Linked DNA regions of Oreochromis niloticus. The protein of the gene in region 1 interacts with the protein of each later gene in a pairwise test. Links are inferred from orthologs where the notes say so. Each region holds a gene or a part of one and is shown on either strand. Other genes may lie near its edges.

Region 1 (7,347 bases):
CATTGTTTCTCAGTTCACATTTTAGCTGTCTCACACTTCACACTGCAAGTCTGTCAGAATGGCACTTCCTAAGCTGCCAAATATCACAAGAACAAATATTCACATCGAAGGTGTCGAACATCACATGCGCCACAGCTCACCGATTCTGCTTGGTATGAGAGAATTCGAAGTAGATCCTTCTCCACATCCTCCTTGGATGAACTGATGTCAGCTGTGCCATTGCCTCTGGACATCAGTTGGCTATAGAGGATTTCAAGGCTCTGGGGATATTAGATTTTGAGTCATTTCTAAAAACATGGTATTTGTCTTTGCTTCAAACCTACACAGAATTAAGAGACTATCAGTATGAGTGTTATTTTCTTCTTCACCTTGACAGCAAGGCTTAAGTATTTATCTGCCATCTGGGGATTTTTGCAGTCCAGCCAGGTTCTCCCTGTTTTGCTGGCCATCTGTAAAGATTAGACACTGACAAACATGCCTTGTCCTCCAGAAACATTGGGCACTCACAGAGGCTGCCTTCAGTACTGCTTACCAGAATCTGCTTGCGAATGGTGCCCTCTGTTGGGTTCTCAGGCTCACAGCAGTACAACAGACTGCATGCAACATGACGCACTGTAAGCATAGTAAGATTATTTGAATGTGAGGAGAGAAGATCCCAAAATACTGCCACTGCAGTAAAGCATAGAAAAATGCACAGTGGAACACTATCAGTCTTGGACTGGCCTGCTCAGAGTCCAGACCTCAATATTATTAAAGTCAAAATGAGATCAAAGTGGGATCATCTTGACAGAGAACTGAAAAAAGGCAGCCAACTTCCAAAGAAGAGCTTTGAATCTCCTTCAAGAAGCCTGGAGAACTATTCCTTAAGACTACTTAAAGAAATTACAAGAAACCTTTAAAATTTACGATGGGTTGAACAATAAAGGTGCTCATACCAAATATTAACTTTGAAACTTGTTAGAATAGTACAGACTGTTTTTGTCTTATATATTTCCATGCACATTTGCATGTTTAAATGCATTTCTGTATCTATTTCGTATTTTCCTAGCAAAATACAAAAAATGAGGGGTGGAACAATACAAATACAAATTTACCTTGGGCTTTTTGAATTGTACTTATTGTGACACCCACATTCTTAGTAACTCCCCAGTTCCACAGCTTGATGGCACACTCCTCCAGCTGTAAACAAGACAACAAAAAAATAAAATTATGCCAGCTTCTTGCATATGAGTATTAACAATATTACATTAAATTGCAGTCTTTAAACTTCATGGAACCGTTGCAGCAGTCATATAACTTGTAGTAGGTCAGATTAATTCAGCTCTATTAAACAAGAATATTAGCGGTGTAAAAAATTTCTTCCATAACTATTTTGTTAATTCTCCATTTTATTTTATTTTTTGTTTTTATTGTTATACTATAACTTTACATCACTACTGACTTGTGGCGTATAGTTAAACAAGCTGACATGTTTTTGTCTACCTGCGGATCTGGTATTTTGGGCATAGCCTCAAGTCCAGGGACTTCAGAGAAGAGCTTCTCTATCACTTCATCATAATCTGTTAGCTGCTTTTGCAGCAGGAGCTCAGTGAGACCTGTGTATTAAAAAAAAGTCAACAAAGACAGACGTTGACAGGATACAAACAGGGTAACAGAGGACACGTTGTCTTCTGAAGTGGAAAGTGACATCTGATTTTTCATGCAATAAGAATATCCGAATTTTCTACACTATAAAGAAAACCAGATACTGTTTGTGCAAGACAATAATGTGTGTGACATGGAGAGCACCCCACTTTCTTATTCTTTTGTATAAGTTAAAAATCTGTCTCAAAATCCAGTTTGACTACATTGATGTCCTTTCTCATTTCAAAAATAATTCAGATATTCTCTTGTGTCTTAATGTTAGGCTATTAGCACTGAAATATTAAGCCATTTATTAATGATTGTTCATCTAGGTAGAATATAATCTAAAATGAAATATGAGTCATACATCCCAAATCAGGTTAATTAGTTGCAATTTTTTTTTAAAAAAGTATTCATTTACATATTAGCTTCAAGTTAGGGGGCTAGCTTGTTATAATAATGTAAAATATAACAATAATTCACTGTGGCTGGTGACCAAGATAACATGAGCAATTTAGTGGATAACATGAACCCCAATTTTATGCCTCTAATCATTTGCATTATCAGGCATTTCACAGGCTGGACAAAATTTATAAAAAGTCTATAACACAGCAGTTTCTTTAAAAATTCTAAGACCCTGTTTGAAATACACATAAGGTCTTCAAGTACCCTTTTTACCCATTGAATAAAGAGAATTTACTCTCCATTAAAAACTGCTTTAAAAGTTTCAAATTGTTACCCAGGTGTAGATTTGTACATACAAATGTAGATGGCAGCCTGCTGGCTAACTTTTTCTTGCTGCAGTCACAACAGCAGTAAGTTTTAATAATACAGCTTTTGGGATTTTCAGACTTTGCCTGTTTAGTTCCCTTTGTCTTTTAGAAAAATAACTATTACTTCCATGGCTTGAGTAACATTTAGCTAATATACCAGAGGCACAAAACTGTTATTAGCTATTGTGCATCCAGATAATAGACGCAACCTAACAGTTAGTGAATTAGCTAGGTTGGAAGCTAAATTAACAACTAAGCTACAGCTCCAGTTGGTAAAAGCACTTTAATAAATAAATAGGTGGGTCAAGAGAACGAGTCAGTTACTCACTTTTCACAGTTGAGGTAAGTTCCTCCATGTTTAACTTTTTGTGGAATAAAAATATCAGTCAGGCTAGGTGCTAGCAGCTAGCGCCTCACTGAAATGTTGGCATTTGATTGACGGCTATCAAAAATGCCCGCGAAAAAGAGAGCGAGGATATCAAAACAACAGCAATATAAAAGAGCTATTACTCCAATAGAGGGAATTATTCTGCCTACCTTAAACTGTTCCTAATACTAGCTTGATAATAATTGCAGGTGTGACAAAAATCAAATACCATTAAACAAAGGGGTAAAGTACGGAAGCGTAGAGCTGCCACCCAGGCAAAAGAAAAAAAGAAGTATATCACGTTATAGCGTGAAAAGTTTATTGTTCTAACAAGATACTTTTCATGTTTGTACAATATACTATCATGTTTGTACAATATACTTTTGACGTTTGAACAATATAATATCACGTTATTACAATATGCATAAATATCACGTTCGTACAATATATTTATATTGTTCGTACAATATATTTATATTGTACGAACGTGATATTTATATTGTACGAACGTGATATTTATATTGTACGAACGTGATAATTATGCATATTGTAATAACGTGATATTATATTGTTCAAACGTCAAAAGTATATTGTACAAACATGATAGTATATTGTACAAACATGAAAAGTATCTTGTTAGAACAATAAACTTTTCACGTTATAACGTGATATACTTCTATTTTTCTTTTGCCTGGGTGGCAGCTCTACGCTTCCGTAGTAAAGAGAGTTTCTGTTGGTTACTGTTTTATCCCCATCTTCTATAGAAAGTTATTTGCTAGAGAATTAGAAGGGGCAAGGTCCTACAAGACCCACAGTTCATCTCAAAACTTGCAATGGGGAGATTGGGACTACCTTCTTTTAGAGATTATTGTTTTGTAGTAGTGTAGCCCATCATAAAATACACATGGAAAAACACTAAAAAGAAAATACCTCCCATTCCCATACAGCCAATTGTATCATATAACAATTTACAAGGTTATATAAATATTAGGTGAAATTGACTCTTAAGGTACATAAAAGTGTTATAAAAGAACATAAACTAGAGCAAGACATTTATATTATCAAATCCTTGAGTTGTGATTTTATTGTGTGCATATGATTCTGATTTCTATACAATATAATAAAAGAAGGAAAACTGCACCGTTTTGAAATGTTTAAAGTGAGTGGAAGTCACTATTTAATAGGACTGTTTAGAAAAGCATATAACTCAGAGGTTGGTAATAGGAATTTGAAAAGATCTTGTATTAAACACATAGCCCTGTGCAAAAGAAAGCAACCCCCTCCAGCAGCTAAATATCTTCTACGAAAAGTTAGTTAGCATAAAAGTTAGCATATTTTGGGTACATACTTACAGAATGGATGAGGAAGTACTTATGGGAGATCCCCAAGGTTGTAGGCTGGAAAAAACAATGGGCATTTATAAAATGGATATGATAACAGCATTTCTTAAGTATAAATGAGAACAATTTGTTTCATACTGAGAACATTTTGTCAACTATGTAGCACTCTATAGACCTGATTTTTTTATTTTATTTAAATTTTTTGCAAATTTGTAATTAATTTGTATTGATTACTAGAACGCTCCCTGCTTGTTGAAAATTATTTGTCTTTTTTCCCCTTATCTACCTTGGTCTATGTATGTGTTGTGTAGTGTTTTATGTATATGGCTTATGTTTATGTAGTGTTTCAATTTAAAAATAATTAAAACAGAAATAAGAAACAGCAAGGGCTTTTGAGAGAAGGGTCATCTACTGGAGCACAAGATGATCCAGGCTATGCAGGGCTTTAGCTTTCTGGGAACATAAAATAAGGCAGTAAAGTCATATTAAATTTGATTGTTCAGTCATTTTAAGGTCAGCTCAGTGCAAAGCTGAATTGCTAGCAGTGTACAAAACAAAGTAAGACACGTGTTTGCTTACAGATAATGGAGTTCTGTAGAAAACTAAATGTTTTGACAGGGCGTGCTCTAAGTTTTAACTTTGCCAACACTAACTGATATTGATCTCATGTCGGCATCAATAGCTCTTAAATAAAGTCTGTGGTTGATATAATACTCACAGGTTATCTGAGGTTTTCTGACAAAGTATTTTCTCATAACTCTCTTTGGTTCTCCTGCAATATTTACTCAGAGTTCAGCAATCTTTGTTGGCATTGTGGCCATAAAGGGAAAAAAAAGTATAAGCCCTTATTTCTTGGTAAATCTAAGAAGTCTTGTAATGCTGGCTTAGCGCACTTGTTTACATTTATTGCCAAATGACATTTTCCAGTCATCACATGCTTGGAAAGTAGATTGAAATACCTGTACTTATAGTAACTAGTGTGGGAAATTAAGGGTTTATTATTTGTTGTAGATATAGACATCAGGATGACACAGAAAAAGAGAGCTCGCCAGGCAACAAATAAAAAGTAGTGAATTGGTATTTGGACTGTAAGTTGTAATGTTACCACAAAAGCACATCCATCTTTTTTATCAGTAATTCTAAATGCCTGAACAGAGACCTGTTCTGTTTTTCAGTGTACAGGTGTCTCTCCTTGTGGTTGTTAATACAGGTATCATAGTGAGAATATCATCGGTATCATAGACGGACACGCGACTGTAATATTATCTTGCCAAATCCTTCTGATATTATGGTTAGAAAACAATTTATCTTATGTGTAAAACCAAAAATCTAGTTGTAAGTCAAAGTACATAAAACTTTCTGGTTTCTTTCTGGCAACAGGTATCAGGAAAAGAGAGGGAATCAGAGCTAAGCAGAAAGAGGAGGTCGAGTAAGGCTTTTTCAATTTTCAAATTGGAATATGATTCTGTTTCAAATCACACAAAAAATTAATAATAGGATTAAAAAGACTCCCATATTTACTGCCATTTACAGGTGTAAAGAACAAAGTGCCTCTCTGACAGGTTCATCATTTTCCCAAATAAAACTTCCACCCTTATTGATACCTTTTTGATACTCAAAGGTACTAAGGTAGGCAAAAGCACTATGACATTATGAAAGTCTGACATCTCACTTAGATATTTTACGCTCTTCATTGAAGTAAATGTTTTCTCTCTAAAAGCTGAAATATTCCCATTTTTATGTGTATGCACGCAATTCAAATCAAAGAAAAGATGAAGGCCTAAGTTTCCATATGTCTCTGTTAGGGGAGTATATTGTATTTAGCTCAAGAAGTTACTACAGGAATACTAAGAAATCACAACATGACTGTAAAACCATCTGCAAAATATTGCATAGGACCGCTCTTATGCTGCCAGAACACTTCTGACCCATTGGAGTGTGAACAAGGGAATTGTGGGGGCGTCCTGTAGTGGCTGGCAATGGGAAATTGGATCCTGTGTGTTGCAGGGTGGGGTCTGTGTGGATCAGGGTTATTACAGCTTATCCCAGGGATGCTTGATTATGAGCTGGAGAGTTTGAAGGCCAGGTGAACATATTTAGTTGCTGGAGGGGGTTGCTTTCTTTTCCACTGGGCTATGTGTTTAATGCAAGATTGTTTAGGTGTGCAAAGGTTGTTAAGTATGAAACAAGAGGACAACAAGGAAGATTCATGCATGCACTGAAGAAGGATATGCATAAGAGCATGGTAGGGATAGGGTGAGATTAAGGGAGATTATCAGCTGTGGTGACTTCTTAAGGGAGCAGAAAACAGAGGAATAATAATACTTTCTGTTAAAAGGTGATGCTTAGTTTCTACAGTTATCTAACTAACTTGCCTTACTAATTCCAAATAGCGTGGATCAGTCACTAGAAATTCATGCCGTAAACATTTGATAACCCAAGTTTCTAAAGATATGTCAGGATTTATTCTAGATGTCTTGATAAAATAATGCAAAAGACATCTAGGACAAAGGCACCCATAGAGCCCAACTCCACCCAACAACATGATCTTAAACTTGATTTGATTTGTCCTTGTTATATGTAAAACTTCACTCTCACATTGAGTTGACCAGACATTCAGCAACTATTTCTCCATCTCTTTGTTTTTCCATTCGTGATCTGTAGCCTGGGTGACTCAACAGCAATATGAGGTCATTTGACTCAACACCACCTTAGACATGGGTCTGGAGAATATCTAGACAGTTTGATTTTTGAGCTTTGATTTCTTGCTTTCTTACAAGCACTGATTTCTTTTTGCCTGTCTAAATTTCTGGACTAGAGACTTCTAACACAATAACTGACATATTACCGAGAAAACCTCTGCCAAAGCTTCAACTATGTTGCTTTGATTCTTGAGTAAATCTCCTTTTGAGAACTCAGGGGCTGAGGAAAGCAACTTTTTAAACCAGCAGCATGGAATACATTTGCACAAAAGGTGCTTCTCTCATCTTGGAAGGGCAAATGTTAAGAATAAAGAAAATAGTGTTCATTTGGTGTGTGAATTCAACAAAACCGCTTAATCTGTTGTATCAATATATTTATTAAACCATTTTTGTTTCCTATTAAGAGAAACAAATATTGCTATAGATGTAGACTTTCCCAGTAATGTCCTTTTTGCTATTTTACAATAGGCTCACCTTCTCTTAAGTGCCGCTTTTCCCAATCAACACTAGATGGAGCTAAAAGACATCGGTGAGACAAATGC
Region 2 (7,652 bases), on another chromosome or scaffold:
AGTTTCACACTTTGTTTGTTAGAAATAATCAAATTGTTGCTTAATTTACACAAAATGTCAGAAATCTGCACCGTGAACAAAAATTAAGCCTAAATTTTCATAATTTGTTGGGTTCACCCTCTGAGGTCCAAAATATACCCAGCCAGTTTTGATTTTACATTTGTATTTCACCTTCAAATTGTTTCATTTTATCTTTTTTGCTTCGCTTTGTTTGATCTCATTCTCTTCAGCTCAACCTCACGTGTCTGTATTTACACTTTTTTCATTGACATACTGTAGTAACACAACTCATCTGAAATCACACAAAAAACATAAAATCCGAGAAGTAGTTATAGTTTTTTTCACTGTAAAAACCACAGACATGTTTAGTAACTTATTTTAATAAATTGAAAAGCAAATCTAAATTGTCAATGTTGAAAACTTATGAACAATTTTTTTAAACATATCTAAAAATGCAGCCAATACATCTGGCAGGGCTTACCCTAACCCCTAACCATTTAAAAATTCTACTATAACTTAAATGAGAGAACAATCAGGTGTCACAATAAGATGTCCCACAAATTATTTGTGCCAGTAAAAGAAATAATAATAACAAAACACAGAGGAGACACCACAGGGATGAACCTGCAGGCCTGACAGCAGCAGGTGCATCACTGCTCCAGTTTTCCACCTGGAGACAGTGTTTACACTGCAGTCTGCCTTTGTGACATTCATTAGTACTCTCACTGACACACAAACAAAACAGTGACTACACAACACACTAACTACACACTCCACACTAAACATCACAAATCTATCACATCTAAAAACTCGCTCTCTCGTTCTGTCTCGCTGCCGTCACTCCCAAAACTTTCCCCTCTTCCTAAAAAACCAAATCCCACGCGTTGCCATTTTTTTTTTTTTTTTAAATTGGTCGACATGGTACATTTTTCCACCAATAGGAAAGAGGTGTCTTTTTTCCTTTCTTTACTGTTTTCGTGCCATCCTTAGAAAATGCCTTTTTTAGCGTTTCTTCCCACACAAACGTGACGATAGCATTCAGAAAGCATCGCTTATATATTTTTTTTAACCATAACTCTGGATTTAGTGGCCTGTCATTAAAATTTAAAAACCGATGTTTACTTTGAAGTCCGAACTTTCAACACGGGCTGAAAGTTAATAACTCTCACCTTCATTCCACAGTGCAACAACCAACCACCTGTGTGAAATCTGAGATGCCCATGGTGTTGATTCAAAATGTGCTCTGGCACAATCATAGGCATCGGTTGCTACTGACAACAAGAAATAAAGCAGGTCTGCGCTGTGGGCTGAACCATTTGTTAATGATGGGGGGAACACTATGTAATATATTCAGTGTTAACTGTCGCTAGGCTCAAAGTGTTAATGCTATCTTATTTCAATAAACAACACTGTCATATGCAAAACACCCCCCTAGATCCGCCCCTGGGCCCTGAGAAAAAATTTCCCAGTTTAAACATCTGTTATGTTGTTTATGTTTTCTTGTGAATAAACTGTGGATGTATGAGATGTTCAAATGTGGTTTTTATTTACAGATTACACAGTGTCTCACTGTTTTGGAGCCTGGTTAGTACAATGAATCGAGGTTCGAGTACAGACTGTTGTCTGCACAGCACTATCACTGTCACAGCACAGCTGCAGTGAGTTCTACTATTACTATGGATTTCATCACAACTACACAACAGCCCTGTTTACCTGAGCACAGACCACCTGAGCACAGACCACCTGAGCACAGACCACCTGAGCACAGACCACCTGAGCACAGACCACCTGAGCACAGACCGCCACACACATCTTGCTTCAAGCTTATTTGAAATGAAATCTACAAACAGAGAGCTGCAAACACAATAACTAAGAGTTATTATAGAACTTCTTTCAGACTTGCCGCTCAGACTCTCATGGCTGTGAGAATAACATGATGCAGTCATCACACAGCAGCACTAAATCTTAAAACCTCAGCTGATCGTCAGAAAACACACACCTGGGAGGCCTCGATCACGTGACTGCTGAGCGTACACAGACTGTAAGTGAAGATGGAACCTGCTGCTTCCCTGGACCTGAGATTTCCTCCAATCATGCAAGTGAATTTTTAACAGTGAGCGCACTTTATGTGTCGCCGTGGACGATCACACACTTTTAGAGAGTGATCGTCACATGACTGAGCACGGAAGTCTGCACGCATGAATGAAGTGAACTCGCAGGCTTCCACACAGACAGAGCCAAGTGAAGCTATCTGAAAGCTTCGACTTCTAAATCTAAATTTCAAGATAGTTTCTGTGTTTTTAGTTATTATCTGTCAAGTCTGAGATTCTAACTCGACATTTTGAGAGAAGTATCAAAAAAGTTTTCTTCAGTCGCGTAAAGCCGGCTCCACAGGTCTGTTACTCTTTAACCTGATGACAACATGACAGTGGAAACTTTCAGCAGCCGCACCTTTCATCTTTTATGTTTCAAGCTCGAGTTCCTCAGCTCTTGCGCCTGCGCAAACACGCACCGAAGAGCTGCCCCTCGACCCGACGAGTGTATGTGTGAGTGTGCGCGGTGAATCTTCGGAAAGAGTAAACTTGAGCAGCGGTTGGAAGCGCAGTCCCGCGGCTGTGGGAGTTACCTTGGTGAAAACCTCCAGGTCCTCGTCCTCGTCCAGGTCCAGCATGTGTTCTGAGAAGTCTGCAGGGACCGTGTGCCCGCTCATCGCTCTCAGCTCCGGAGACTTACTAAACACAAACTTCCACCTCAACTCCACACAGCAGCCGCACTCAGAGGCCCGCCGAGGATGCCACTTCCTGTAACGGATTTCAAAGTAAAAGCTGCGATCAGTCACGTTTGACTTGGCCCGGAAGCTGTGTTCTCGTTATGCGTCTTTGTTGTTCACAGTAAAGTTGAGTGTTGGCTAGAGTTCGTGTTTTTCGGCCAAAATGCTGAGTGTACATGTGTTGCCTCATATCACAAGGAAAGCCAGAAACGTGTCTGAACAGGACCACTGGAGTTCTGTGTTTTTATTTTTAAGTCATTTTAATTTTTCTTTTCATTTTATATTTTCTGTTTGTTTGTTTTAAAGTTTGTTTTTCCTATTATGATAACATATGTGCTATTTATCATGTATTATTAAATGTTAAGCTTAACAGATCCAACAAAGTCAAAGCATAAAAACGTTGTCCCATAATGTGTTTGATTCAAGTTAGTTTTGCAACACTGCAGTATCGTTTTAGCCTTTTATTCTTATTTATTCCAGTGAACTCAAATTTAAAACTAGGAAAGAAAAATACTGACAGCAACCTGTTTGTTTGATCCCTGACTGCTCCAGTCTGCATGCCAAATATCCCTGGGCAAGATACTAACCCCGAGTTCTTCTTTGATGGCTTGTATGAATGGGTAAACAAGACAATTTGTATAAAGTGATAATAATAATAGTAATAATAATAATGATAATGATAATAAAGTTCAGGGCTGTCACGTGTCTTCCAGAGAGAGAGAGTGTGGTTTTCTCTTTGCCTCCTGATTTGTATGACGTCTTCTTTGCTTATGTGTCTCTGTGCATTTAGCCTTTTTTACACTTTCATACCATTTATATTTTCATTCACATGGATTTTTAAACATTTTTAAAGATTTATTTTGAAGTGCATACACATATGAATCTTATACAGTTTATGAAAGAACAATTACTACTGTAAATTCTGCATCCATGACTCTACATAAGTAACAATATAGAAGCCTTAGCTTCAAAATGTATTTCAAGTCATCATTCTGTTGAAGAAAGGTTGTGAGCTCTGATATACTGTTAGACCCCCCACTCCTCCTGATATTCCCGTGCCTGCCTTTAACTATGATATGTCATCTATGAACTATGGATCCAGTGTTTAGGAACCAGTGAAAATTTATTTGATTTTCAGCCACCCCACTACACCCAGAACACAGTTGTATTTCCTGCATATTTGTCTGAGCGGACTTTCTCTTACCTGCAATCTTGTCAACAAACGGGCAAACTGTGTGTTTATTTAGGGGAGTGTGGCTGGCACACAGGCTGCACTGACAGTCAGCCCCACCAGCACCAAAAGATGTCAGTGTTGCATAGGCTGTGCAACAGTGTGTCACACCTCAGGCTGGACCACCACTGCACGCTCACGCAGTCACCTTCCCTACACTTTACAGCAAACGCTGTGCCTGAAAGAAGAAAAGGAACTCATGCACAAAGAGTTGTTTTTTTCCTTTTGAATGTGAGAGAATCTTCATTTATTCCCAATGAAAAATAAGTTTCTCTGCAATTTTTTTTTTTCTTTGTGATTCGATTTTCCCCTTTACTGTCTACTTTCGCTACACAATTTAAGGGTACAGAAAAACTGACCACAATATCCAAATATCACCTTTCTGCAGGACTGCTGCAGTCTACTCTGTTACGTGATACAAGCAGAAGCATCTGCAGGTTACCCTGGTAAAGACTAACTGGGCTGTGGGCAAGAAGAGGACCAGAACCGTGTCCATCCCTGGAGTCTGTGTAGAGACACAATAGCACTCTACAGGAAGAGCCAGAGTCATCTGTTATCTGTGACCACTTCTTTCAGCTGCTCCCTTTAGTAGTCCCCACATCTCATTCTATACCATCTTCTTCTGTTTTACACCAACCCTCTGCATGTCTTCACTAGATCCATGAACCTCTCTGAGGTTTTCCTCTTTTCCTCCTGCCTGGCAGAACCATTTTCATCATCCTTTGTCCAACATACCCACTGTCCGTCCCCTGCACATGTCCAAACCACCTCAGCCTTGCCTCTCTAACTTTGTCTCCAAAGCACTCAGCCTCAGCTCTTGTATTCATTTCTAGTTGTGGCGGGGCGTGGTCTGAGGTGCCGCTGCGAGGGAGGCGGACGCACCAGTGCGGAATCTGCAATCACACCTTGCCGGCTTTAAAATCTGTACTGGGTCCTGAGAATTGTTGCTGTTGGTGTGTATGTTTGGCTGGTGACTGGGAAGCCGCAGCCACGTGTGAACAGCAACCAGTGAATAAAAGCAAGATGCTGAATAGCATGAATGTGTGGACAGGTCTGCCGTGTGTTCTTTACACTAGTCATGTCCATGCTGCTTAAACCCCATGAAGACATGAACATTGTCAGCTGGCCTCCTGTCTTTCTGTCAGAGCCACCATCTCCAAACCATCCTTCATAGCAGCCCTGACTAGAGGACTAGAATAGAATAACTTTGTTATTCACATCAATGGAAAATTGTCTTCAATTCACTAAGTCATAAAGCAATCAAGTTACTTCATACCAACCAACACAAATAACATAAATATATATAATAAATAACACAATGAAATATAAGTTTTAATATACAAAACTTTAATACAACAATTAAACTTCAATATAACAATATATGTCACAGCATCTCATTATTTAGTATACTGACTGCTTTTGGCACAAATGATCCCTTATACACCTACCACTAAGAGGCAGGACCTGCTCCCCGACAGAGGGCCTGGCTTGTTAAACCTAGGGAAGTCTGATGCAGATGACCATGTTGCCACCGCACAAATGGCTGAGGCCCACTATGTGGCCACCCCTCCGGGTAGAGTGGGCCCGCACTCCAGAAGGGAAGGGAGACCCCGAAGAGGCATATGTCTCCCAAATGGCATCCACGATCTAGTGGGACAACCAGGCCCTAGACAGCTGTCAGCCCAGGATCCCTGAATGGACGGCCGGGTACTGACTACACTGCCAAAGCATGGCCAGAGCACAAGGCAGCCTGGTGCTGTGCTGCCTCCTGGGCCAACCTCTCAGTGGGAGCTGTTTGAAGCTCACCTGAATGGAACAGGTGGAATTCAGACAGGGCCTTCAGTAGGAATGCAGGGTTGGGCTGGAGGACCACCCCTTTCCCGTCCGACAACCACCTGCAGCAATCCCTGTGGACTGACAGAGCATGGAGTTCAATAATCCTTCTGGCAGAGGTTATAGCCAGCAAAATGGCTATTTGAGGGAGAGCTATTTCAGTTCAGCGTCCTCCAGCAGCTTAAAAGGAGGATGAGGGTGCTGAGGACCAGGTCCAAGTCCCAAAGGGAAACTGGGGGCTGTGAATTGCGAAAAGTAGTTCAGGACCCTCAAGCCTCTCAGCCTTATAGGAGCAAGGACGGCATCCATGCACCGTGTAAAGGTCCGGGGTGCAAGACAGATGCAGAAGGGGAGGACTCGGAACTCAAACAACTTCCCCTCAAACCCGAACCTTAGGAATCAACAGTGCCCCCTGAAGATAGTGGTTGAGGCCCCTGAGATCCAAAATCAGGCAGAGTCCCCAGTCCTGCATCCTTCTTGGGAACCAAAAGATAGTGTGAGAAGAGCCCAGCTTGGTGGTCCCCAGCATCCACCTCCCATATTGCACATTTCCCCCGGAGAGCCGAGTGTCATGGGCCTGGGTCTGGTGACCCAGGGTTCATGAGTGTTTATGAACTTGAATATTTTTGATGGGTTTGCCTTGGGCTAGCGGTCCTCGCAGGTGAGTGTGTTCCGCTGGGAGGCCGGTCACACCAGAGGAGGATGATGGCACACACCTGCTGCTGATCAGCCTCGTCTGGGGAACTACTGGGGAGAGTGGCTGAGCTCTGGTCGATGCTGGATCGTAAAGTTTGGGATGGTCATGACGGCAGGGTCTGCGGAGAAACTGCAGGTGGTCGCCCTGGGTCATGGTAAATTAAAACCAAGGCTCTGGCCCCAGAGCAGACCAAGCTGCCTTGCACTGCAAGGCAGAGAGGGAAGAGGGCTGGCTGGCTTGGACCGAAGAAAAGTCAAGGGGGAGGGAGTTGACATGGCCCTGTGTAGCCTAGCCAGCAGGGAATCCATAACCTTAGAGTCTCTGCTCGGGCATGTGGCCTTCACAAGAAGGGAGCTAGCGAGTGCAATCAATGGGACGAGAGCATGATCTACTGGGGGAAGTGGGCCACAGGCAATCTACTCCCACCCATCCATGTTAGAGAACCTCCTACTGGCAGGGGAACACCTGTGCAAACTCTCTCCATGCATGAGTTAAACAGTCCATCGCTCTCTCTCATAGGCATCTCCATCCACAGGTGTGTCATCTCCACTCTTCAACCTCATCATAGTTGCTCACACTTCCTGGTTGTGATCTACCAGCTTTCTGAGCAGATGGAGAAGTAAATGGAAAGCCACGCACAGCCCTGTGTTGAACTGGATCAATGAACCAAAGAGCCAGCAATGAGTGATGACAGTTTTACCTGATCCAGCACCAACTATGAGCTTTATTGAAATGTAAAGCTTGCAGCCTAATATTAAAAGTAGAGAAGGTATCCAGAGGTATTCGACCAACACAGAAGCTGAAGACGTACGCTGAGTGCTTTAATCCCAGATCCAACACTGCACACCACAATGATGATGCTGTGTATATGCAAAATAGGTTGATTGCAGTGGAGTTCACTAGAAAGTTTTCATTGTTTTAAACTCACAGTTTTGCTTCACTACAAAGAAATTCTTTGTTCCTTCTTCCATTACGAATAAATATACTTCAGATTATTTGTATTTTATTTGAAGCACTTGGGCATTTTTACAGTGTTACTGCTGATATTGTATTCAAATAAAGAATGCTGGCTTCATGTTACCATGACGCCAGGAATGTGCAGGAAGACACTTCTACGCACT
Region 3 (7,894 bases), on another chromosome or scaffold:
AAACACATATTACAAATACCAAAAACACTTGTTAAAGAAAAGAGCTTGTGGTATATGTGTGTGAATTGGAACTTGTGGATTGAAAGGTCCCTGCACTAGAGTGTAATGAGTTTACATGTTAAGGAAACTTCAAAAATGTATTTAACCTGAGGTAGGCATTATCATCTTTGAGGCGCTTCAGCTCCTTTTCCAGATCTGGAACTCTGGCCGCCTCTGACTTTATAGTCTTCACAATGGCAAAGTCTTGCTCCTGGAACGCAAGCCGCCTTTCCAACTCCTGCCAAATTAGAAAGTGAGAAATTCACCAGTAATACAATTTTCAGATTGTATTCACTTTATGGAAACAAATACCTGTAATACACACACACACACACACACACACACACACACACACACACCTACACCTGTATTAATGTAAATATCTAATCAGCCAATCACGTGGCAACGACTCAGCAATCTTTTATTGTCCAAAATTGGACAACAGAAGATTAGAAAAATGTTGCCTGATCGATGTCGAGCTGATCCGAGTGAATACTAATGGAAAAGGGGCTTTAGGACCAACTAAGCATCATTTAAACCTACACCCTACCTGAGGATTGTAGCTGACCATGTCTGTCTCTTTATGAACACAGTGTACCCAACCTCTGATGGCTTCTTCCAGCAAGATAATATGACATGTCACAAGACTCCAAATCATCTCAAACTGGTTTCTTGAACATGACAGTGTACTCCACAGCCCCCAGACCTCAGTCCAACAGACAGACAAATCTGCAGCAACTGTGTGATGCCATCATGTCAATATGAACAAAAATCTGTGAGGCATGTTTCCAACACCTTGTTGAATCTATGCTCTGAAAAATTAAGGCTGTTCTGAAGGTGCTGAAAATGGTATGTTCAATAAGTGTATGTTATGAGGGGAAAAAATACATTTAAACTGATATTATGCAATTTGAAGGAGAGAGGTAGTTTGAACAAAAAAGCTGATATGTAGAAAATTGAACAGATATACTGCACATGATCTTGCCTGCATTGGTTATAAGTCTAAATCGTAATCATATTTAGTAGGTTTACATTTGACGTAGAGTGAGCTGCATAACGCTGTTTAACCACACCATCTACATCAGTGCAAAGATGTACAAACTGCTATTCTTAACTATTTCAACTATTTCCTCTCCATGAACTGTGGACACTGGAATGTTCTGAACTACAGACAAATCCGTACACCATGTAAACTCTGAAGTGAAACCCAAGGAGCCCAATAGAAGCGACAGCATTTCGTACCTTAATCTTGATTATGTGCTCAGAGCATGACGACTGCGCAGCTTGGAGACTCTGGCAAAGTTGAGAGACTTCCTGATACTTCCTGATCATAACAGCAATCAGAGAAAACTGCATGGTCAGCATTTATATTAAGCAGTACAGCTCAATATTTTTTAGCATGAAAAAGAGCAAAGAAGTGTCAGTCCCTGTCTGTGTGTGTGTGTACCTTTGTTGCAAATCTAGCTTTTCCTGTAACTCCTGGTTTTCGAGCGTTTGACCAGAGATTTTTGAGTCTTGGTTTTGAATCTTCTGCCTGAGCTCTCTGATCTCATCCTTCAAAGAGCTGATGGTCTGCAAACCGATAACAGAGGTAATCCAGCATAAGATAAGAGGCACTACCAGACTGGCAAAATAACTGTGCGTGCAAATCTACAAGCATGCGTGCACCTGGTTAGCTGCGCCAAGCTTATCATCTCGTTCCTCCAGTGTCTTGTTTAGACCCTCCAGGTTCATCTGGAGAGCATCATTTGCTTCCTTCTGCTCTGTTAGCTTCTTATTCGCCTCCTCCGCTCTCTCCTCCAGCTTTTTTATTTGTCCCAAAAGCTCCTGGTTCCGATCCACCTCATGCTGCAACATAACAAGGTGGTGAGCTATCTGATGCTTTGTTCATGTGGTATTAAAGGAGTATATATGGCATGTACCTCCAAGTCTCGTGCGCTGTCTGAGGCTGCCTTCTCCAGTTCAAAACGAGCCCGTTTGTGACTCAGCTCCATCTGTTTCTTTTCCTGGTCCAACTGCAGGTAGCGATTCTTGGAGTGAACCCTCTCTGCTGCTTCTAAAAGCTAAAAGAAGGATATGCTAGTAAGTGCGGAGGCTGAATGCTGATGCTATTTTTGTTCAGCTTTTTTGCCCCCTGTTGATGCAAACAGTTTCTGTATGTACCTCCATGCTGCGCTTGTACTGACTCTGCAGGATTCCACTCCCTGCTGAGTGCTCTGACAGCCGCTGTGGATGTTCGGGGCGGCTGATGAAGGAATTGAAGGACTTCAGGGTTGTTAAAATGGTCGTGTCGTCTTCTAAATCCATTCTGGAAGATGCAGCACACAAACGAAAGGCTCACAGTACGAGTAAAAAAAAAAAAAAAAAAAAAAAAAGACTTCACAACGGCCATGTAAAGTTTAGCTAAGTAATTCTAAAGTGCACCATTTTCATGCTTTATAACTTTACGATAAAAATGTTAACAGGTTAATGTTATATGCAGACAGGTGCCTAGCATTAACTACGTAAAAGTGCAAAGTAAGATAAAAGTGGTATTAGCTTCTTTGCTCAGCTGCACAAACACGAAAACAACTTTAGTAGCTTAACCAAAAGCTAATGTTTACGTTAGTTGCCATATTTGGCAATTATCAAGAATTATCTCAAGAAGGTATTCACTGGTTTGTTAAGAACAGTTTAAACTGCTTCACTCCTGTATCACCACAGGCTAGACAAGAGTTCAGTTTACCATGACTGTTTTCTACAGCTATTCCCCCTACGCTACGTTTAAGTAGCAAACAAATGGGTATCGCTTGTAAGAATACGTCCTCACCTCTGAGCCGGCTTGGTTTCTTTATTTTTAAGGAGCGAGTTATTTGCAAATAGGTTATCTCGGTGTTGCTAACGTGTTAGCTGCTCACTAAATACTACAGAAATCCCTCCAGTTTAGCTCGAATGGGATGCACGTAGTATCGCGAGATTTGGTACCATCGCGAGTATCAAAAGCAAACTTTTTTTGTTTGTTTTTATAGGGAAAACGAATAAATCGTGCACTGTTTAATTAAAACCCCGTGTTTCTTTGTTAGTTTGTTTATTGTTTGTTTTTCCCCTCTGATTTCTGGTTTTCTAATAATAAATACAATTATGCTCGGAAAAGCCTGTTAACTCCGGCACCATTCGGGTAGAGCTGTTTTCTTACTATTACTATTAGATAGAATTTTACCATTTGCACAACCTCTGTTATACCACTACTACCCTTAGAGGTCAACCACCTCCACTTTACCATATTTGTAAACCCAGGTTTAATAATAATCTTAGTGCAAATTGCATTAATAAATATGTACACTATACACTATGTAATATGTTTGGGACTACTGTGTTCAGCTATCACATAAATAAAAGTTATTTTGCAGTTTTACAGAGATCGGTAGGAATAATTTCCTGAAGCATTGTTATCTGGTGACAGGGTTTTGGGTCAGTCTGGTGAAGGAGGAGCTTGGCTATGTCAGAAATGTGAGCAGAGTGGGTGTGGTGGGTTTTCCATGATAGAGACAAGTTGTTCAGTGACCTCCTGTCCCTCACTGACTCCAAATTATGGCCAATGATGGTTCCAGCCTTGTGAGTCATTTTATTGATCCCGATCATTATTGTGTCCTGTTAGCCTATGTGTCTGAAACCTCACTCTCCTGCAATTATCACCCTTTTTAACAGCAGATCTTTGTCCAATAAATCATTTGTTCCTAACGATTCCATCACCTCTCACATGTTAGACATTTTCTGTTTCACTGAGACTTGGCTCAAACTAGGGGACTACTGCCCCCTGGTCGAATTGTGTCCACCCTGTTACAAATTCTTGAATGCCTCCAGATCCTCAGGTTGTGTGAGAATGATAGTAGTTTAATTTAAACTGTGTTCCATGTACTCATTTTATTCCATTAAATTATTGTTCTTCAAAATTTAGTGTGAATAGCCACTTTGCTGTTTTGCTATCTACCAGCGTCCCAAATCCTGTGGTGATTTCCTGCATTAATTCAGTTGAGTTCAATTCATTTCAAGAAACATAACTAAAGTGGTGATTGATTGATCAGATAAACAGTGATGTAAACCACATTCACTCTGGGCTATAACACTCTGAATCACACTACGATGATGTATATTAAAGTTGTTCTCTTCTTTTTTACTTTAACAGCTCCCAAATTCTTTTCTGTTCTGTTTTTATTCAGTTTCATAACCCATTTAAAAAAAAGCCAAAACTGTACACGGTGAGCCAATGTTCATATCTAGCCATTTTAAAACATTACTGAAATATAGGCACTCATCCAAGCATATCTCCACAAAGCTGATTCTGAAAAAGGACTCAATAAATGTGACACTCACCGTTTACAAAGGTCCATCATCAGTGAGAAAAGAGGATCTTGCAAAATGAGCAAAATTAATTCAGATAGAATCATTTTATATACTTCAACATCAAACCATTAAAATTGTTATAAATATGTAAAAGGGTAAGTCATACAGTTGCTTCTGAAAATATTTCACTTTGATAAAGTTATTAAAAATGTTTTGTAATGTGCATAAATCTGTGTTTTCATTCTTCCTGCTGAAACTTGTTTATCTTGACTGTAAAAACACCTCTTTCTTCAGTGTCAGGCTGCTCCCTCTGGTTGCTGAAGAGGGTGCTGCTGTGGGCAGGTCACAGTCTGTGGATATGATGTGCTTTTTTCACTGGTCTGCTGTGCCATACATCTTCCAGGGACAATTAATTAGTTGGTATCCACTCGCATCTTTTCCAGGAGTGCTGTGGTCCTGGAAGCTAAGAGACAGCATTGCAGCCAGGTGACAAAAAATAATGACAAGAATTGAATATATATATATATAATATTATATACAATATTAAAATGAATAGTATGCATTATTATTCAGATGACTCTGTACCAGACACACATGATGTATTACTGGTGACAGCATGCGGTATGAAAGAGTTCCTAAATCTTTTCTTAGCAGCAGGGCTGAATCAGCCTGCTAGAGAAGGTCCTTTGCTACCTGTCCAATAAGTGGTGCACAGGGTGCATGCATTATGCATGTTGAACACAGTTTGTTTAGTGACCTCCTCACCACCACAGCTTCAAAAGTGTCCAGTTTGCATCCAATCACAGAGCTATCCTCCCTAATCAGTTTATACAGTCTGTTGGTGTCACCAGCTTCCCTTGCAGACCACAGCAAAGTGCACTGTGCTCGCCACAGCTGACTGATTTTGCTGAACATATTGAAGGATCTCAGCTTCTTTATGAAAAAGAGCCCCTACTTGTGCACTTTCTCTGTGTTAGGCTTGCATTTCAGCCTATGTCAGTGTGGACGCCCAGGTACTCGTACTCCTCCATTAAATCATCCTGCCCCAGAGCAGGCTGCACAGCTGTCGACTTCAGATGGAAGTGAACACTTTATGACCTGTTCTGATTTGGACACTAAAGCTTCCTTCAAAGATCTATTCTCTGTGAATTTATTCTTAGTCACTCTAGTGATATTTATTTCTCGAATCTCACTCATGTTGTTGGACCTAATTAATGCTTTTGTTCTCTGCAGTGACATCACAGACTTTAAAATCTGTCATTTAGTATTTTTTAAAAAATCACCTCATTTTTGGACATTTTCTGGCTGTGAAGTCAAAATGAACCGCTTCAGGCTCTCTCGATAGTCACTTTTTAAAAGGCAATAATCCTCCTCATCCTTATCAACAGGCCAGAAAATAGCTGATAAACATTCCATGTGTTACTCTTTTACATTTACCTAATTAATCAGCGGGTAAATAACAGACCTGAAACAATGCATCAGTGCCAATCATGTTATTTCATGCCTCAAAAATAAAGCACAGCATTGCATTATTGGGTTTTTGTAGATTCAGCCTAATTTATAGACTAAAGAATTTGGCTAGAATGAGCAAAACACTGACCACTTAAAACCAGGTTTATAAATATGCTTATAATGATTTACATGGCATTACTGTTCTTTTGTTAGAAATGACCAAAAAATGATATAGTGTATTTACTTTTGTATCCCATTAGCCCAGCACATGTATGTGCTTGGATTTGTGGGGCCTTACTGGCATAGTTGGTCCAACAGAGGGCAGCACTGCTATATTTATCAGTTTATATTTTACAAAGCATGGTCTTTTGGTGGACACAGAGGTCTGCCTCGGTGTAAAGCCTCGTCTTTGTACAAATAATAAGCTGTGATTGGCTTTGCATTACTAGAACTCACACAAATGTGGGTAGATCTTGATATTGTACTTACATAGCACGCTGATATGGAAATGATGCTTTTTTTTCTCTAGCATAAGGTGTATCACTCACAGGGAGGCACTAATGACACAGCTTTACAGATGGCAGCAGTGCCCCGGACGATGTGAATTACAACCATTTGTGCCACAATGTCAGGGCTAAAAGCATTTTAATCCATGTTTAATTAAATCACCATAAGTCGCCTTGAATGATCCTTCTGATCCAAACAACGGTGATGCTCATTCTTGTGCATCCAGTTTGCATCTTCATTAATACTTCATTTATTCCCATGTGGAAAAATCAACCTCTGCACTTGACAGTCACGGCATAGCAGCTGAGCATCAACTCCAGTTCTGCTTGTGCCGTCTGAGGTCACGGTCAAGGAATTCTTTACGACTGGCCTGCATTCATGCCCTTCATGAGTGAAGTAAAGGAAGTGAGACCTTGGGGGATTTATGTAAGAATATCTACAGCAAAACACAGGCAAGACCTTGAGAGTGCTGATCTCTGTAGTTTCAGAATACATGGATGAAAACGACGCAGACAAGCAGCTCACAGATGGTTGGAACAAGCCACGATGGACGCACAAGAGAATAATGACTTTTATATCTTTACATTCGCCTATGCTGTCATCTACTGACAAAAGAATAAGCTGTAATTACAAAATCACCTCTCCATCACAAGGCTGAGAGCAGAGTAGGAGCACAAGAGGTGAGGCCCGGTGCCCAGTCGATATTTATGTGAGAAAAGAGCTGGAAAACATGAAATAAAAGAGAGGAGGGTCCACGGAGGGATTTTTTGATTTTCTATTTTTTTCTATGTGGGTGAGATTCAAGAGGGATTGAATGAAAGGGTGTGAATTTGTCTGAAAAGGTCAAACAGAAGACAATTCCTCTTCAGAGTGACATAAGAGCTCCCCTTTCTCTCTGTCACTGTCTCTTTCCTTTTCATCCTTTCACCCCCCAAGAGAATTCAGCCTGTTTTGGTCCACTGTCTCTCCCAGCTCCCTCCTTCCCTTCCTCCCTCATCCCTTCCTTTCTTGGTCCTACAATCTCCCCTCTCTCACCGGGTGAGAACACCTTTTTTTTCTCCCCCTCCCCTCCCTCCTCACTGTCTTTTTTTATCTGTCATACTCTGACTCAGTCCCTCCCTGTCTCTCTTGGGTATTCGGTCGCCGTCCTCAGCATCCACCTCCACCTGCCTCGGTCCTGCCGCGGTCGACCCGTGGATGCAGTCTTCCCTGCGAGATGACGCAAATGCACAAATTCAGACTCGTGCACGCGCGCACGGACACACACACACGGCGTACGATGTAAATCAGCAGAAGTGCCCGCAGATGTGCCCTTCGTTGCCATCTGTTGAGAAATGTGATAGGAGTTCACAGGAAGCCGTTTCACATTCAGTGGGGTGTTTTTTCTACCCACAGCTAAACATCAAAACATACACAAATAGTTCAATGTCATGCAAACCGCAAAAGGTTAGGAAGCTGACACCGAGAAAAATCTCTTTCTTGCGTTGTTACCCGATTGGCAGCAATGTCAGCTTTTACAGCTTTGCAGTTAATGACAATGAAAGATATGAACGAGTGTAATTCAAAGAGCCAT
Region 4 (7,956 bases), on another chromosome or scaffold:
CTCTCACTGATATCATATGGACCCGGGAGTAGAAGAAACTGAGTTTTCAGGGAGATCTGAAGCCTGGCTTTTGGATTACAGTGATTAGTTGCCCATAATCTGACCTCATGATTTGAAATTTTGGCCATGTTTAATCTTAATTTACACCACAGATTATGTGGATGGCATTTGAATGTGTGAAGTAGACATATTTATTTTAACCACATTTGAGAACAGAACTGCAGAAATATTTATAAATGGTCTTCTGCAATAACCTTTGCAACTGCCAGGAAAGTTCTAGACTTACTTCATACTTTCCTCAATAACGCTTTGTGTAAATGTCAAAAGAAAAATTTCACTGTTTAAATCGGAATGTATTAAAATGGATGAGCAACCATTTTGATTTCTTCATGGTCTGGCTATTTTTTGAAGCAAAAAATGACAGCCGTTCTGTTTCCTGGTGCCATAATGTGAGGATTTTAGGCTTTTCCTTATCATATTTAGCATATTTGCTTACATTAGTTAGAAATATACAAATGCTAATCAATCCATTAAATGATTTGTAGACATAACAGAACAAATAATGAATTTACAGTTAGTTGCAGCCTTAATTTCAAAGTAATCTAAATAGTGTGGTCAATAATCATGAATGCAATTTGAAAACTTGAGGAAAGGTCGCACTTTTTAGTGCACAAACTGATATATAGATTCTTGCACTTATGAGCAGGAGGCATGTTAAACTCTAAATAAGTGGTGCATTCACACAGCAACTGCAGCCATCTCAACAGGCCAAAGAGAAAATCATTAACTGCTGAGACGAGTGGCGTTCCAAATGACAAGCTGCTCTGCATTGTTCTGCTTTCCGGCTGCACCCTGGGGTGCACTCAACTCAACAGAAAAGAGCCAACTCTGGAGCTACTGGAAACAAACAAGCCTGGAGAGGAGGCAAAGTGTTGCGATGAAGAGGCGGTGTGTGCGTGCGCGTGTGTGTGTGTGTGTTTTTGTAAAGAATCGTAACAGAAACACAGAGTGAGAAGAAAACGAGCGACAGCAGAGGAGAGAAGATCCGGCAAAATAGAAAAAGAAGACAGAGGCAGAGGAGAGTGTTGCATCCATCTCTAACCTTATTAAGAATGTATGTTTCTGGGCAGGGGGGAGGGCAAAAAGGATATGGAGGAAATTAGGTGAGGAGAGAAGGGAAGGAAAAGGAAGAGACAAAGGATGAAAGGAATTTAATGAATAGCGAGAAAGGTACAGTGGGGTTATGATGCAGGCGAAGACTTGAACAGTAAAGGAAAAACAAGCAGGCTGAGGATCTAATGAGGGAAGCGCTGCCCGCGGGCACATGCGCACGTGCAGAGCAATCACTCAAACCTCTTTGGTCTCGACTTGTTCACCACAATAATAACGCTGGAGTCAATAATATTGGAAAATGAAGAAACGATTAACATTTCAAAGTTGAAGACGTTGCAGAGGGCTCAAGAGAAAATACCAGAATGAGTTCACAGCTGATATCAGGAAGTCAGCCACTCTGAGAGAGTATGGCAGATTTCTAACAGGGAGTGAGAGGGTGAAAAAACACCACAAAAAATGAAGCAATCCAGGACCTTTAATCAGAAAATGAAAATATGAACACATACATGCATATACAATGACAACGAACCTCTCCTCAAATATAGATATGAGTGCAGCACAGTTTTTTTGTTTGCTTGTTCACTTACAAACACTTTTACTGTAACATCTGTCTTAGCGGACAGTTGCTTGGCTCAACGACGCAGCAAACTAGGCTACACCCCTTACAACATCCTTTACACACAAACACAGACAGAATGAGTTTACTAGGGTACTAGGATACATTGGTGCAGTGGTTTTGATCATAATTAGTTTTCCATGGACCCCCTTCTTTACCACCCTATCAGATTATTTAGGTCTGGGTCAGATTTTGCAGAAGCTGAACTACTTTCTCTTTTGTTTTTTACCCTAATAAAGCAGCATCAGCAGATCTCCTGGGGAAACATTTAGAGCGGCCAAGATGAAAAGTAACCCAATAGTATTGATGAGTTGACCCAAATCAGCACTGCGCTAAGTGCCACTTTTAATGCAGGAAGGCTGCTCCGTTATCAGCTGTCTGATAACAGAAAGACATTACATCGGGAGTGAGAATACTAAGCAGTGGCTGTAAGGAATGGATCAATAACAATATGGTAGTAAGACCTTCTCATGAATAATTAAATAGCAGTCATAAAATTGGTGTGAGCGTAGCTACTGCACGTTGGACTGACAGTAAAGCCAGGAGTAAAAGTAAAGCTGCCTCTCGACTATAAATGCGTGACTTTTATTGGTGATGAAGAAGTGAACAAAGACGCATAAGAGAATATTGCTTAATAAGATGCAATAAAAGTACAGTGAATCTTTTGGATGGGTCATTCAGAAAAGATATGGAAACTGAGCTCAGCGCGTTGAGGCTGCTCCCGGGCTTCCACATTCATCACCAAAGTGTCAAATCTTCCGCCTACTCTACCAAGCCACGAGTATCTGCGCGTAAGTGCGCACTGCACCGGTCCGTACGCGCTGTTCACTGGATGTCTTCATCCCGAGCACCCACCCGCCCTGCACCTGCCAACCCGGTGCATTTCTATACTCACATCCAAAATAACGGAGATGCCTCTCCGCGGTTCCGGAGCGAAGAACTGCTCCTGAGCCACGGCCACCTCCTCCTTACTGGAGGCGTACTCCCGGCTGGAGATGTTCTTGTTGTCGCTCATTTTGGTGACGATCCAGCGGACGAGCCCGTCGATTCCACCGGGCTGGGCGCCGCTGTTTCCGGACTGCGCTGCCGTTGCGGACTCGCTGTCCTGACCGGCTACGGGTTTCGGCTGCTCGCGGCTTTCTTGGGCTCGAAGTTTGGCTTGTTCTTTGTTCAGCAGTTTGTGGACTCCGTCCCTACAGTAGCGCGCTGCCTGCTCACACATCCTTTTGCTGCGGAGCGCTCATGCTGCGCTCTATGGGGGAGAGAGAACCCCCACCCCCACCCCAGCTCCCCTCTTACATCACAGCACCCACCCCAAATCACACCCACCCACCCTACAGAGCCCTATCTACCCATACGTGCTTGTAGGCAGATATTTAACAGCTTTGGAGATTTAAGTGAGTTTATTGCACTTTTTATTTCAGTGTTGTTATCAACGCTTTCATATTTCTAAGTGCTAAAATGTCTCGCCTTCAGTGCTAATACTTTTCTTACTACAGTGTAAAAACACATGACTATTTTTTCATGGTGTTGTAAAATAGCAAAGTTGCAGATCACTTTGAACTATCCGAATCTGACTGGAGACCGTGGCACAGTTTATTCCTTCCACAGTGACAACAGGAGGTGTGGGCCAGCAGTCATGTGTGGCAATGGGTGGATCAGAGGATTTTCCACATGGAGTAAAAAGGAGTCATTAGAGGATCAGTGTTATGTGAGAGCTCTAACCTTTGGTAATGAGCGACTCCCCCAGCTTTGCCCTTTCCGCTGTACTGTTGTCTTCCCCGTAATGTACCATGTGTTTAACAGCACGCAGAGCATTCTGGATGAATTCAGTCACGATGCAAAGTTAACAAACAGGTTATCGCGATTACCACAAGGAAGTAAAGTCAGGCGTGTTATACATCTTGCCCCATCGCTGGAACATAAGAAAGGGTCAATCACTTGACACGATTGCCCCCATGTGGTAAAACATGTGCAGTGACGTGCCTGGGCAAGTCTTATATGCAGGATGTATTGAGTTCATTATTAAATATTTACCAACAGATTCGTGACAGCCACTTATTTAAATCACACAAATACACAACACATTCTGGCTTGAACATTTTGGCAATTAAATGGCTAACAGGCTACAGAAAAATAACAAAACATGCAACTGAAACATACGAACATCCAGCAATGAAGGCCTAATTTCTTAAGTGCATTCATGTTTACATCTATAGTCAATCTCTCTGTGTCTGCACATGTCTCTAAGATAACTGAAGACCCTTCAGATAATAGACGCGTGAGTATGGCCTCCTGTGGCCTTCGGAGTGCCGACTGGAGATGATCTAGCTGCCTAACCATGGTCCTGGAGAGCCGTCTGAAGGAACCTCAAATGACACCAGGATTTTCGGGGTCTCTTTGGATTGAATGTTGCCCCCTCCATTGACAGTAAAATGGGAGTTGTCAACCTAGACATGAGCAGGGTTCAAGTTACGTCAAATCTGAATAAGAGACATGTTTAAATGAAACATAAATTGAATAGAAACATTTTATAGATGCTGAAGATGTGAAAGCTGCGTTTAATACAAGCAGGAGTACAATTTGTCTAAACATAAGCCAGGTTGCACCACTCTGCACACTGCAATCTGTTCCAGGCTAAATTTAAATCATCTTGCTCCGTGTTGGCTGGCAATGAACCCAGTGCAAATATTTAAAGGAAATGAGCCTTAGTAAAGCATCCCTATTTTTAATAAGAGTATTGGCTGCCTGCAGGGTGTTTGTTTTAGAATGTTGTAATCATTGTCAGCTATGTTGATAAGACATTTTTAACTTTCACTCTTTGTTCTGATTGTCTTATAGTGCCGACTTTTGTAAATTCTACTTGCTCTTTACCAGAAGAGAGAAAGTGGTGGTCTGCAGGAACACATTCTTGAAGAGGATAATGACGTTCCCACCGGCTTTGATGCTGAACGGGCCTTGAGGTTTGAGTAGGGGAAAGATGTATTCACCACCAATTACTGAAGACAGGCTTAGCTGGCCTCTTATTTACCCCAGCTGATAAGGCTTGAAACGGACCTCCATGCTGGCCTTTGAGCCCGAAGGGAAACCTGGTAATGTGCTGACATTCTTGTCTACAATAAAGGCCGGACGGTCAGTCTGGAGGACAGAGATAACACAAGGTGTTTGCAAGTAAATCAACTTTTTGTGTTGACGAATTATAGAGAGCAGATGAGAAGGAAGCCTCGGTGATGAATGCTGACACTGACCACATGTAAAGTACTGTTGCTAGAATAAATGTACAAAAAGGAAAGAAAGGGCTATTTGTTTTGCCACTTTTTACCTTGCAGCAGTACTCGGTTTTGAAGCGTGAGTAGTTGTTAAACATTACAGTGACAGAGTGGCTGCTGCCCAGCAAAGTATTGTCCACAGATTTCTCTGGTGGTGGGGGCAGAGCTCTGAGAAGCAGATCGTAGTGGAAGTGGCCCAGCTCATTGCTGAACAAAGTTAGACGGGCAGTAGACTCGCCTGGATGAAGAGGCATGTAATGAACAGTCAAAAAAACCTGTAAAGAAAAGACACACACATATGCCAGCAAGAGTCTGTCTGTGGCCACACAGTTTTTTTAATGTGATGGCAGATGTACTCATTATCTACCTTGGACTGTCCTGGCACACTGTGCTGAGGTTGGACGATGATGCCAAGACATTTACACTCCTTAGTGAGGCAGGCTGTCTGGGTCAGAGGGTTCTCTACTTGAATAGTGGCCGAGGCCACCTGACGAACAGGTGTCCCCAGCTTGATGGTGGACAGGACTCCTGGAGATGTTGCCTTTGAAGATAACGAGGTAGAACAAATACTCGCCTGTCTCATCATTAATGAATGTCACCCAAGGATAAAGATAAAAGGATGATGTGAGAACAAGGCTAAAAAAAAAAATAGTCATCCAAGTCTGGATGTGTATGCTTGAGTAAACCGTGGTGTTACCCTCTGTGTATGTAAAAAACAAAACAAAACAAAACACTCGTAGTCCCTCTTAGCATGGGCAGGGACATCAATAAACTTGATTTCCTTGAGGGACACTGTAGCATCTGGCTTGTCAGGCTTCACTGTCTCTAGACACACAAGGAACCTGACAACACAGATGAGTACACTCATTGCTCTGTTATACATCTGTTGCATAATTTGCCAGGAACTATAGATTTCCATATTAGCACAAAAAAAGCTTTGCTTAACTGGGATCATTTCCTACACTTTACTTCTTACTTTCTAGTAGAAAATTTCAAAATGTAAAATTTTGTGTCATCTCAGTTTAGACAACACAGTTGAAACTAGTTGGTGATTTAGCTGCTAAGGAGAGACATATCACTTAAGAGCAGCTCAAGTGTATATAGTTCCCGACTAAGTGTTTACCTTTGTTGCCTAGAGAGCCAGTTGTGCACAGGGAGCAACAGTGTGTGGAGAGTTTTAGCAGGTAGCTCATGCACAAGAGTGTCCCCTGCCACAGGAGGATCAGCAGCTCCCTGCAAGGTGTACAGCACACCTGTCCCATCGGGAAAGGCAAAAAAAGGCAGATCCCTGAGGCAAGAGAAAGGATAAACAGAGATTAATTAAATTGTTATAGTTACATAGATAGTTTTATTATCTGTAACCTTTTCAATATTAAAAAGTATTAAATATACCCAGTTTTTCAAATAAATAATAGATTGTATTTAGATGGTGGCTCTTCTACCTGGTGTTTTTTCCAGGAGCAGTCACGGTCATAGATCGGGAGGTTATTGGGAATGCAGTTCTGGCGCGGCTTGAAGGTCACAAAGAGTGGAGAACTCCAATGCTTGCCCTCAATGACAGGTTTGATGGTGCAACACTGGATTGTGGGGCTGAGGACAGACAGGGTCTGTGTGTGGGAGCCACGAACTGGACACACAGAGCTCACCACCTGGACACAGAGACAGGGTGACAACAATTACTTGATCAATGTTACAAAGGTTATACTTTCAAGGTCATTATATCATCTTGCTACATTGGATGTTGTCAGCAAGAGAAATCTGATCAAGCATAGGGTTTTATCCCAAACACAGAAATGAATCTTTGCATTTATGATAAAATTAAATTATCTGTAACTCATTCTCAAGATAACATAACATGAGAAATTTCCTAAAGCATTTTCTCAGAAGTACTCAGCTAATTGAAACTGACTAATAGTTTTTACAAATCCTTAAATCTGTCAGCAGCTGCTGCCTGTTCCAAATGAGCCAAATCAATGTCTTTCATTACCTGATGCTGGCCTCTAACCATTCCTACAATGAGTCAAGGAGTCACAGTGCTGACAAGGCACCTTTTAGATTTTATTCCCTCTGGAAAAGCCTCAAAATCAATACCCAGATAACTAATCTTTTAGCTTTGTTGACTGTAAAAAGCTTAAAATCATCATCAACTCAAAACAGCATATATGTTATTGTTTTTCTCATATTACTCAACACTGTCCTTTTCCCTTTGGCACAATTACAGTGCAGAATGGTGAAGAAAACAGAGTCAAACCTCTTTGCTAGTGTAGGCCATGATGCAGGAGCCAGTGACAGTGAGGGTGACAGGCGAAGAAGAACCCTCCACAAGGCAACTAAGATTCTCATATTTTGTGCCATTACTCAGCTCCACAGAGGCAAAAGTCGCTTGGAAAGGGAACCTCCACTCCTGGATAGATATATCCATTAGCTGGCATGATGAATAACTGCAGGAAAATCCTCTGTTTTCCACTTAAACCTGTTAAAGAAAAAAAGCAAACAGGCAGAATAACTGCAGCTATAATATGTGAAGCATTCTGATAACTGCAGTAACACAATATTGATGTTTCTGAGTGAAGATGTGTTTGTCACTGCTGTCTAATCTTACTGGGCACCAGCGTCACCAGTATTCATCATAGCATTCTTCTTCCTGAATGGCAGCGTTGGACTACAGCTCCAAAGTACCTCTCTTCTGGCTGGGCTTTGACATCCTGGTAGTTTTACATGAAATAAATTAAGACTATATGATATACAGAGCTAACATTAATCATTCTTGCTTATAATATAGCATATGGCATTTATAGCAAGTCCTACTTTGTTATAGTAGTACTGTCAATATTCAGAATTCGTTTGAACTTTTCTCTTTCTGTTTTAAAGGAAGTGTATGAAACTTTGTGAAACTCTGTGAAAACGTACTCCCGATTAGACTTTTGACTACATGATTACAGTATCTGTATTTAACAG

The links.
Region 2: the proteins of tex11 (region 1) and snx7 interact in binary tests that used the Homo sapiens proteins (3 or more experiments, as listed by UniProt). The two-hybrid records come from large-scale screens. The link is inferred for Oreochromis niloticus from reciprocal best matches to the Homo sapiens genes TEX11 and SNX7.
Region 3: the proteins of tex11 (region 1) and mad1l1 interact in a two-hybrid assay, tested with the Homo sapiens proteins (2 studies listed by BioGRID and IntAct). The two-hybrid records come from large-scale screens. The link is inferred for Oreochromis niloticus from reciprocal best matches to the Homo sapiens genes TEX11 and MAD1L1.
Region 4: the proteins of tex11 (region 1) and necab2 interact in binary tests that used the Homo sapiens proteins (3 or more experiments, as listed by UniProt). The two-hybrid records come from large-scale screens. The link is inferred for Oreochromis niloticus from reciprocal best matches to the Homo sapiens genes TEX11 and NECAB2.

The regions. Positions count from the first base shown.
Region 1 is NC_031966.2:20,005,695-20,013,041, forward strand, and holds the start of tex11 (testis-expressed protein 11), read right to left. Parts: upstream 3,013-7,347; 5' UTR 2,753-3,012; coding exon 2,725-2,752; intron 2,528-2,724; exon of another isoform or gene 2,385-2,527; intron 1,596-2,384; coding exon 1,483-1,595; intron 1,180-1,482; coding exon 1,095-1,179; intron 613-1,094; coding exon 533-612; intron 450-532; coding exon 369-449; intron 261-368; coding exon 141-260; intron 1-140. UniProt on the Homo sapiens protein: Regulator of crossing-over during meiosis. Involved in initiation and/or maintenance of chromosome synapsis and formation of crossovers.
Region 2 is NC_031974.2:33,800,820-33,808,471, forward strand, and holds the start of snx7 (sorting nexin-7), read right to left. Parts: upstream 3,007-7,652; 5' UTR 2,711-3,006; coding exon 2,627-2,710; intron 1-2,626. UniProt on the Homo sapiens protein: Involved in the regulation of endocytosis and in several stages of intracellular trafficking. Together with SNX4, involved in autophagosome assembly by regulating trafficking and recycling of phospholipid scramblase ATG9A.
Region 3 is NC_031971.2:11,904,240-11,912,133, forward strand, and holds the start of mad1l1 (mitotic spindle assembly checkpoint protein MAD1), read right to left. Parts: upstream 3,005-7,894; 5' UTR 2,849-3,004; intron 2,348-2,848; 5' UTR 2,347-2,347; coding exon 2,203-2,346; intron 2,103-2,202; coding exon 1,962-2,102; intron 1,888-1,961; coding exon 1,708-1,887; intron 1,612-1,707; coding exon 1,487-1,611; intron 1,364-1,486; coding exon 1,282-1,363; intron 278-1,281; coding exon 147-277; intron 1-146. UniProt on the Homo sapiens protein: Component of the spindle-assembly checkpoint that prevents the onset of anaphase until all chromosomes are properly aligned at the metaphase plate.
Region 4 is NC_031972.2:7,361,211-7,369,166, forward strand, and holds the start of necab2 (N-terminal EF-hand calcium-binding protein 2), read right to left. Parts: upstream 3,008-7,956; 5' UTR 2,952-3,007; coding exon 2,625-2,951; intron 1-2,624. Other genes in the region: hydrocephalus-inducing protein, read right to left, coding at 4,757-4,867, 5,052-5,273, 5,366-5,539, 5,696-5,840, 6,122-6,286, 6,441-6,472. UniProt on the Homo sapiens protein: May act as a signaling scaffold protein that senses intracellular calcium.